Daphnia pulex: one gene and its partner. The protein of the gene in region 1 purifies or fractionates together with the protein of each later gene. This does not show direct contact. Links are inferred from orthologs where the notes say so. Each region holds a gene or a part of one and is shown on either strand. Other genes may lie near its edges. The genes, in order: contactin-like and neurexin-4-like.

Region 1 (4,587 bases):
CGGATGTAGTGAGCCGCTTCCAAATTATCGTGAAAGTCGACGGGAGACGAATCAAACCGCAATGTAATTCCATTGTGTTTCCAGATGTAAGCCAAATCAAGGATGCCCTCTGCCGACGCTCGACAACGTAACTGTTCCGTCTGTCCTACTGTGGTGAGGATGCGGTTAGGAGGTTCCTCCACGAATACTGGCCCACGCAAAACAATGACGCGCCCTGTACTAGAATCCGAGCCAAACCTATAGACCACAACAAAAACATGAAAAACAATTGAGATTTAATCTGAAGTTATTATTTTTTCTTACCGATTTTCGGCAGTGCAAGTGAAATTTCCAACGTCTTCCATAGAGACGGGATTGATAAGCAAGTGTCCAGATGGAAGAATAATTCTTCTTCCACCAGAACCAATAGCGAAGCCATCTTTCCTCCACACATATTTCGGTCGAGGTGCAGCTTCCGGGTTGCATGCAATAGTTACGTTTCCTCCGTCAGCAGCATAAATGTCGGATTCCAAAGGCCTTTGAGGAAACAAGGTAGTACGATTAAATAATTATACCAAGATAAAGCTTAAAGAATAAATGAAGAGAGAAGGAAACATACTTTTTAGCAAACGAAGGCTTTATGTCCAAGATTCTCAGCTGGCCGGATGAGTACCTCTCCGCAATTTGATTCGAAGCTTTGCACTGATACATTGCTTGATCACGGTCTGGGTCCAGTTTGCGTATAATCAAAACATTTTCACGGATCTCGAAGCGTTCGCGATCTCCTTGCTCAAGCGAAAGAGGGTCGAGAACCTATGAAACGAATTTAAAAGTCGATATATAACGTTACTGTTTCAGTTTACGCATCAAGTCATTAGAAACCAACCTGTCCGTTTCGTAGCCACAGATAATTGACGTCGGGTATGCCAAATGCTTCACAAGTCCACAACAAATCTTCGCCCCTGTCCATATGCATATCTCCAAGCGGAATTGTAAATACTGGTGTGGCTTGAACGCTAACTGTCACAGACCCTTCAATTGAAACCTTAAAAACCGGAAAATGTTAAATTAAATACAGAAAAGAAATTAAGATTGCGAAATACCTTGTCATTGGTGGCGCGGCAAACATATTCTCCCATATCTTCAACTTTTACTTTGGGTAAAACGAGAATTCGGTTGTAGTTTGTGATGACAACACCCTTAGGTAATGGAGCTCCTTTACGAGTCCAATTGTAATTAGGGACAGGGTAACCAAATGCTACGCATTCAAGTCGAACATCTTCACCAACTCTTGGGGCTTCTGGGAAACTCTTGGGGAAATTGTTTGGGAATTTGAGCTGTTGGTAATTAGGATGCTGGCGAACTTCGACCGAAAAGAAAGGTCCATTACGACCGTTACTGGAAACGGTACTTTGCACATTGCAGGAATAGCGGCCTCGATCGATATTTTCAAGGGATGAAAAATACAAGTTTCCGTCGAAAGAAACAAAAGTTCGTGAATCCTCTTCTACGAAATTGGGGAAAACATCGCGGACCCAATAGTATTGGATATCAGGGAAGTATTGAGGAGGATCACAATAAATCGCTTTTCCCCAATGTTCAAGACCGTTTTCTGATGAACGCTTGAGATTGAATTCTCCAATGAAGCCAAAGGAAAGTTGCACACTCTCGGATACGATAGACCCGTATTGGTTGCTGGCTACGCAATGATATTTTCCTCTGCAAAACAAATTACACAAATATCAATATAATACGACGTGGATAACTAACATTTTAATTTTAAAATTACCTGTCTTTGATTTCCTCTGGATTGGTAATAATTAGCAAACCACCACTGACAGTATGTCGTGGCATTAGAAGCGGATCAATCCGTTTGGAAACAAGCTGGTCGCTTTCAAAATCTTCTTTGTACCATTGGAATTCTGGAGTAGGGTAACCATTTGCTATACAACTAAGGGTAACTTGATTCAATGTCTTCCTTCTGGTCAGATCAAATACCACAGGCACTGGTTGCCGAATAAAGTAAGGCCCACGCGGAATTCTAGTGATATCATTTACAACAATTCCATACTGAAATGTTCTGTCTTCCACATCCAATAAATTCACCTAGCAAGAAGGATATTTATTAATACAAGAAAATTTAGAAATAATTTTTTGTATAAATACCTGATTGACAGGAATTTCACAGATATAAAGCAATGGGTCTTTTCCATCCACACGCAAAAGACCCCACTGTCTAGCTGAGAGTGAATAACCATAAGATAAGAAGTCCTTTTCAAAGACAGTTTCTTGATTAGGTAAGAAGGCTGTATCAAGATTCATCATGGTAGTGCCATCTCCATCGTTGATCCATACACCTGGGCTTTGTTGTCTTCCACTGATGTACCAAATTCTATGGCTGGGGTCATTCTTGTTGAGGTATGTTGTGATAAAACTATGTTCTTCAAGTGTGTTTACACTGGTTAAGTCAGAGTTGAAAGCTCTGCAGTACTGCCTAGCTTCATCTCTAGTTTTGATTGGGCTTCGAATGAATTTGTAACATGACGTGGCGTAGTGCACCCAAGATTTTGGACAGATTGCATCAGGATCATAAGTTTCACTTTTGACATTAGTTTGTCCAAATAAACTGTTGGGCGACGTTAAAAGTTGTGCATTTGATTCCCAAACAAGGAATGTGAAGAGTAACAACGTGACAGGATTCATTGCAGCTATCACTGTTTGAAAAAAAATAATTATGAATTAAAACGATGGCGTTGAATTCAATGAGATTAAATGACTTACCTTTAACCAGAGAAGTTCGAAAACGAAATAAAAAGTAAAACGTTACTTTAAAAATTCATAGTGACAACTGCAAGTTGCCCAACAGGTAAACCAGGTAAACCAAACAACAAACTGCCAAAGCCAACACCCAAAGAAAAAGCTTAGCAGGTGTAGGCGAAGAAGCACATTTCAACCAATTGCAGGTAAGACGCGATGGTTGCCAAATCGCCAAAATAACATCCGTCGTATTCGATGACCGATGATTTAAATTTTTTATTTTATTCATACAATTCTGCAAACCATTTATTCCGTTCGGAGTTGTACAAATAAATTTTGTGTGATTCAAAGTAAATATCAGATTGTGTTGAACTTGAACTTCGATATGAAAATTGAGTTACGGGGAATGGGATACCAAAACTGAAGCTGTCCACTTTGCTTCCGGTCTATACCCGGTGATTTTCTTGAGCTTTAAAAATTCACACAATTACAAAATACATCTGTATTATTTTCACCAGTTAACACGAGTGCAAGTTTCCAGGAACATATGGTGAAATGTTAAAGAGGATCAATGTATGAACGTTTTTGGAAACAAGTATTTTTAGGTAGATCAATTAATTGATCGTCAGTATTAACAAAATTTAACTGAATCACTTGTCAACTATGATCTTGTGAATGCTACGCATATGACTCTGTAAATGAATTTTCTGGCGAAATGACCGGGAACAGAGGTCACATTTAAAAGGTTTCGTTCCCGAATGGATCCTAAAATGGGCAGCTAAATTGCTAGGTGTCGGGAACATTTTACGGCAGACTTGACAGCTGTAACGTTCTTTATGATTACGCTTAGAACTCATGCTGTTTGCACGCATGTTTTCATTCGGCCTTTTTGTCTTCACTGTATGCTTAGAACTACTGCAGTTACCATTTTTACTAGTGCTTAAGCTTAAGTTGGTTGACAAAATATCTTCATCCTCATCCTCTTCTTCGTCCTCATCGCAACGTAGACCAACGGAATTCCTACTAAAATTAGGGTCGTTGTTACTCAGTCCGCCATGCGAATTAGAGAAACCTTGAAGGCGTTGAATTTCAACCACAGCTTCTGCGCTGTGTTTCCCACTAAAATTCCATGTTTTTTTCTCAAGAGTTGTCGAACTGTGAACTGTTGGAGCTCGTTCAGTTGAGGCCAAGGCGTTCGTTACTATGGAGTAACTTTGCTGTATACGAGACTCTTGAAAAACGGCCTCCATCCGGATGTCTGTAACTCCTGATGATCCGCTGATGGCTTGATGTGTGTTTGCGTCCCTACCTACAATCATTTCTGAATAGAAAAACAGTCAGTAAATATCATAAACAGAATAAAAATTCCTCAAGAGTATTGACAAGCAAGCTCCACAATTAAATCCTTAGAGTAGAACCCCGCTAAAAAAGGCACCCCGCAAAGGGATGAGATTATAAGAGAACCCCCCAAAATTGTTGTGACGTCAACTGAATCAGTCTTGACGTCACATCAAAAGAAAAAATGGAGCCAATTGGGCATCAATCAAGTCTAGACGGAAATACAATAATAAATACCCTGCTTGTTGTCATTAGTTTTTGGCCGCTTTGGCCTTCCAGTCGAATCATCCGAGGTCCCGGGCGTCTCTGTTGCTGCACGTTTCCTTTTGGCATTTCGATTTTCTTTTACAATTGATTACACAATTACACGAGGTTATTAGATCTTATATAATAGCAAAAGAGACGTTTGAATCTAAACGGATGTACATACCTGTTCCGGCGGAATTGAAAGTGGTCCACGCCAAAAATGCGCCGTTCATGGCAACATTAGTCAATTGCTCTTCCAATACGCTT
Region 2 (4,491 bases), on another chromosome or scaffold:
TGTTCCTCATCTTCCTCAGTAGGTGCTTGAGCAGGTTCATCATAATGAATGAATTCACTCAAATGTGTCCAACTTTGTTCTGACACATGTCTTCTGGGTACACGCAAGCAGGCAGCATGGTTTGGAGGTTGGACACTACTCAGACTACGAATCAGTCGCCTGTGGGAAAGTAAGGGAGTCTGCTCTGCTGAGTTAAAGGATTCATCATGGGTAACCCCCATAACATCAATAGCATCGTCCATTCTAATTTAGTTGAAAAAAAAAAAAAACATTTACGTGAGACATTAATTGAGTTTTACAGTTAAAAACTAAATTTTACTTTCTTGTTTGACAAGTCGAACAATACTATCCAAGGACTTGGAAAGCTGTGTTTGAATAAACACACCCACTCCTCCACAGGTTTATAGAGTAGTGTCAGACGGCCCGATGCTTCAATCACACTGACACGATCAGATTATAATACACAATAAAAATATAAAAAGTCATAATGCCGTCTGCTTTCATGATTAGAAAGTAGAACACCAGAGAGCGTAGAGGCGTTCATTGCGTAACCGGAAAAGGAAACCACATGATTCCAAATTTCCAACTCCTCTTTGAATTGGTTTCCCGAATAAAAATAAAAATGAAATCAGTTAACAAAAGAATTCTATTTCCTCGTCATCGACAATGCACAACAACCACATCAAGTCACCTAATGTAATGAAAGAGATAAGAAAAAATGGAATTGGCGATCACAATCAAAGATGGGAGAAAAAGTGAATGTAATAAAAACGTGATGGCTTATAAAATGGGAAAAAACTGCACGTGAGATTCACGGAAAGGGACGGAAAAGGGTCAACCAAGATAACATGTCAGTCATCCAAAAAATCATACTTTCGCTCCAATTGTTGTTTTCTTCTAAATGATACACAGTCTAGATAAAAATTTCCTTCTTTTGTTGAACTTGATGACCTGTAGCTCCTTGCATGACGGCAAAATGCTCATCTGGCGCGTACTCTGCTCCCTTGTCTTCTTGCGTAACATAATCTCCCTTGTGGCGAGACATATAACGTCCGATTAGGATAGCCATACAAACAAGGGCAATGAAGAGGACAGCTAAAATGCCGCCCAAAATAGCGGAATGAGCTGGTGGATAAAACTCTTGTAGTTTGTCCTCATCGACGATGGGAGGAGGTCTCGTCTCTCGTACATCCGGTGGGTTGGTGACAGGTTCAATGCCACAGAAATCCTCTGATATGGAACTGGGTTCCTTCATGATATTTGGAGGAGGATTCTGTTGAAATAGCCACTTGAGTGGATATATGTCATCAAATTCGACACGAGAAATACAGCCGATAAAACCTTCGGCCATAGTTTTGTTTCGTCCAAGGTAAAGATGTTGAATGTTGTTAAACTGGGCGTCGGCCGAAGGGTTAATCTTGTAAGTAATTGATCGAGGTTCGTAGCTGTCAACTTCCATTACAACCCGAGTGCCTGATTCTTCCCGTCGAATCCGCACATCGTGAAATTGGCCAGTAGCGAAATTCTGGTCCTCGAAGATAATTTCACGACGTTCAAACCCAAAGTCGAAAACCAGACGCAGATGGCCACTATTTGACACCTGCAATGTGAGATATTCCTTGCTGATGTCAGAATAAAGACCCATGAGGATTCCCTTGGGGTCTGTTGTAGTGAATCCAACACGAATCTTTTCAGACAGCGTCGATTTGTATGATCCAGCAAAATCGTACTGAATCATGTAATTGCTCTGCATATTGACACCAATTTCGTCGGCACAGATGGGACCTGAAAATTAAAAGAAAACCATTAACAATTGTTATAAAACCAAAGAGACCAAAAGAATTTAATTACCTTTGAATGATGTGAATCGACAGTCGCAATGATAGCTGTCGTATTTCTCGTGGCAAGTTCCATTGTTGAGGCACGGATTACTGTCACACTTACCCGTGCACCCGATGCCGATACCGTAAAGACCAGCCAGAGCAGCAGCTCTCATGTCAAGATGACGGCCGTTAACCATTAGGCCACGCATGCAACCAACAAATCCATCGCGGTAATCGACAGTGGCACCCACCACAAGAGGTGAAGTCAAGAGCATAGCCCTAATGGGTCCAGGAGGTTCTCGAATTTGCGACTGGTTAGAAAAAAAAATACTTTAATGCAATTTCACACTATTTTTTTTTACAATAAACGTGATGAAATACCTTTAAAGCTCCATCAACAATCATACGAGCTTCCTTGCGATTACGCTCGATAGAAACAGAGTGCCACTGATTATCGCTCAACTTGTTGGATGTTTCGACAGTTACAGTACGAGCTCCAGATCCAGCTTGATACTCAAACTGTAAAGTGTCGCCACCAGAAATGGACACTTTGATGAAATCGCTCGGTCCTTTGCTATGGATCAACACAGCATTTTGAACTGTGGTCTTGAATTCAAAAGTCAAGTCACCACTGTGACCCATATCGAAGGTGGGGAAATCGATGGTGGCATCTCCCACACGGAATGTTACCACATTGTCGTACAAGACATCACCTTCGCAAAGAAGAGGGCCCAAAGTGTACTTTCCTTCTTTCTCATCCAAAGGAGTGCCAGTGTCTCCGAAACGCAATTGGCGTACAGGGAGGTATTCCTTGTCTAAAATTTCTCCTTCGTCAGCTGTCCAAGTGTCCAACGCAGCATCGCAGTTACACCATTTGGTGCGATCCACACAAGTTCCGTCGATACCGCATTCGCATTTGCGCGAGCCGGGAAGCGCGCCAGCCCAGTAATCCATTCGCTGATTTTGCCTCGACATCCACCAACTGTAGGGACGGAATTCTTGCGTTTCCGGTGACGGTGAGTTGAGCAAACGCGAACGACGGCATTCATAGCGGAGACGCTGGCGACAGGTGTAGGAACGGTTCATCAAGATCTCCATTTGGTCAACGTCAGCATTGTAGGCAATATCTTGAACGAAGCTACCAGGTGCTTCAAAGCCGTTAACAACCGTTGTTTGATCATTCTTGTGTCCGACGTAGGTGTATGTTCGGCCGTCGCTGAAGAATTCGCAAGTGACAGGGAATGCACGTAGCGGACCACTTCCATCAACATCAATGCTGATATCAACAGGGCTGGCATTGGCTCCGGATTGTCGGAAGCTCTCACAAGAGACAGGATTAGCTGACATGTGGCAAACCGCTCCAGCGTAACCAGTTCCGGCGCAATCGCAATAGAATTCTTCGGATGTTTGCTTGCAGACTCCTCTGTGCTCGCAAGGATTGGGGTTGCAGCGATCAACCATTTGGCAGGCATCGAAGACAATTTCACCCTTACAGCAGAATTCTTCGTCTTTCCAGTTCAGTGGGCTCTTGTAATGTCCGTCAACATTGATTTGGCGCATGCAGCCAATGAAACCAGATGAGCTGGGAACGCCACCACCAATCAAGTAGCTCGATCCTGTGCGGAAAGTCATGAGGCGTACAGTTTTCATTGGGCGGCCATCGACGCTCAACACCATGGAATTAGTTGAAAGTGTCATGATAACTTTGTGCCAACGTCCGTCATTGAGCAGATCCGTTCCGAAGTTGTCGAGGGTAACTTTGGGCACATTTTCGGCAGCAATTTCAACTACAATAGCAAAAGAAAATTAGTTATTACATCTTTTGATTCTACTACAGATATAACAATAGAAAATTACCTTTAATTTTTCCGGTTTCAATAAATAGTTTCACGAATCCAGGAGACGTGAAACGATGGTAAGCAAGAAGTCCATTTTCTTCAAAAGTACGAAAATCTAATGATAAGTTCAGGGAACTAACGCCTTCGTACCCGGGTAATTTGGCATAAGAGTTGGCAGTCAGGAAAGTAATAGGCACGATAGGTTCCTGAGGGCAGGAGCTGAGGGCTTGAACTCGCTGGTATTTGTAATAATCTTCATGCCGATAGTCCTTGACGGCCTGGATTACATTGGTGTAATTCAAATACATGTTCTCAATGCAACCGGTGAAATTCTGAGTCACGACGAGGCCTTCTTGCATATTGGGGACACCGCCAATATAGAAATTATGGTTAAGGTCCAGTTGAGCGTAATCTCCCTTCACTTTTTCTCGGATCATAACGCGGTCGACAGTAAAAATAACTTCGCGTCGGTTACGGAGGATTCTTACATCGTGCCAAAGATTGTCATCGAGTAAGCTGCCAACTGAAAGGCTGGTCAGTAGGCCAGCGCCCAGGTCGATGTTTAGTAGCATTCTATTGTTAACCAGCTGTAAGGCAAAAATATCGCCTTGGCTACCACGACTGTAAATAAGAACTCCATCAGCTCGATTGGTACGGAAGCGAAGTTGAATGCTGTCTCTCCGTGACGTGATGGGGTCATTTTCCAAATTGCGCGTGAGAAGAGCCGTGCCGTTAAAGTAAAGTACGTCAGCAACATAAGGGCAGCCATAAAGTTCCACCCTCATGGAAATACGATCGTTCCATCTTGTTGGATTTATGCGGATGTACTG

What was found.
Region 2: the proteins of contactin-like (region 1) and neurexin-4-like purify together in Drosophila melanogaster (affinity purification with western blotting; 4 studies listed by BioGRID). This does not show direct contact. The link is inferred for Daphnia pulex from reciprocal best matches to the Drosophila melanogaster genes Cont and Nrx-IV.

What each region holds. Positions count from the first base shown.
Region 1 is NC_060028.1:7,915,849-7,920,435, forward strand, and holds the start of contactin-like, read right to left. Parts: upstream 2,903-4,587; 5' UTR 2,761-2,902; exon of another isoform or gene 2,694-2,760; 5' UTR 2,683-2,693; coding exon 2,146-2,682; intron 2,086-2,145; coding exon 1,769-2,085; intron 1,699-1,768; coding exon 1,083-1,698; intron 1,025-1,082; coding exon 866-1,024; intron 793-865; coding exon 599-792; intron 517-598; coding exon 304-516; intron 238-303; coding exon 1-237. Other genes in the region: myoneurin-like, read right to left, coding at 3,387-4,057, 4,312-4,416, 4,505-4,587. UniProt on the Drosophila melanogaster protein: Required for organization of septate junctions and paracellular barrier functions.
Region 2 is NC_060021.1:7,495,520-7,500,010, reverse strand, and holds the end of neurexin-4-like, read right to left. Parts: coding exon 3,681-4,491; intron 3,611-3,680; coding exon 2,205-3,610; intron 2,135-2,204; coding exon 1,852-2,134; intron 1,786-1,851; coding exon 914-1,785; 3' UTR 629-913; downstream 1-628. Other genes in the region: solute carrier family 12 member 9-like, read right to left, coding at 1-242. UniProt on the Drosophila melanogaster protein: Seems to play a role in the formation and function of septate junctions.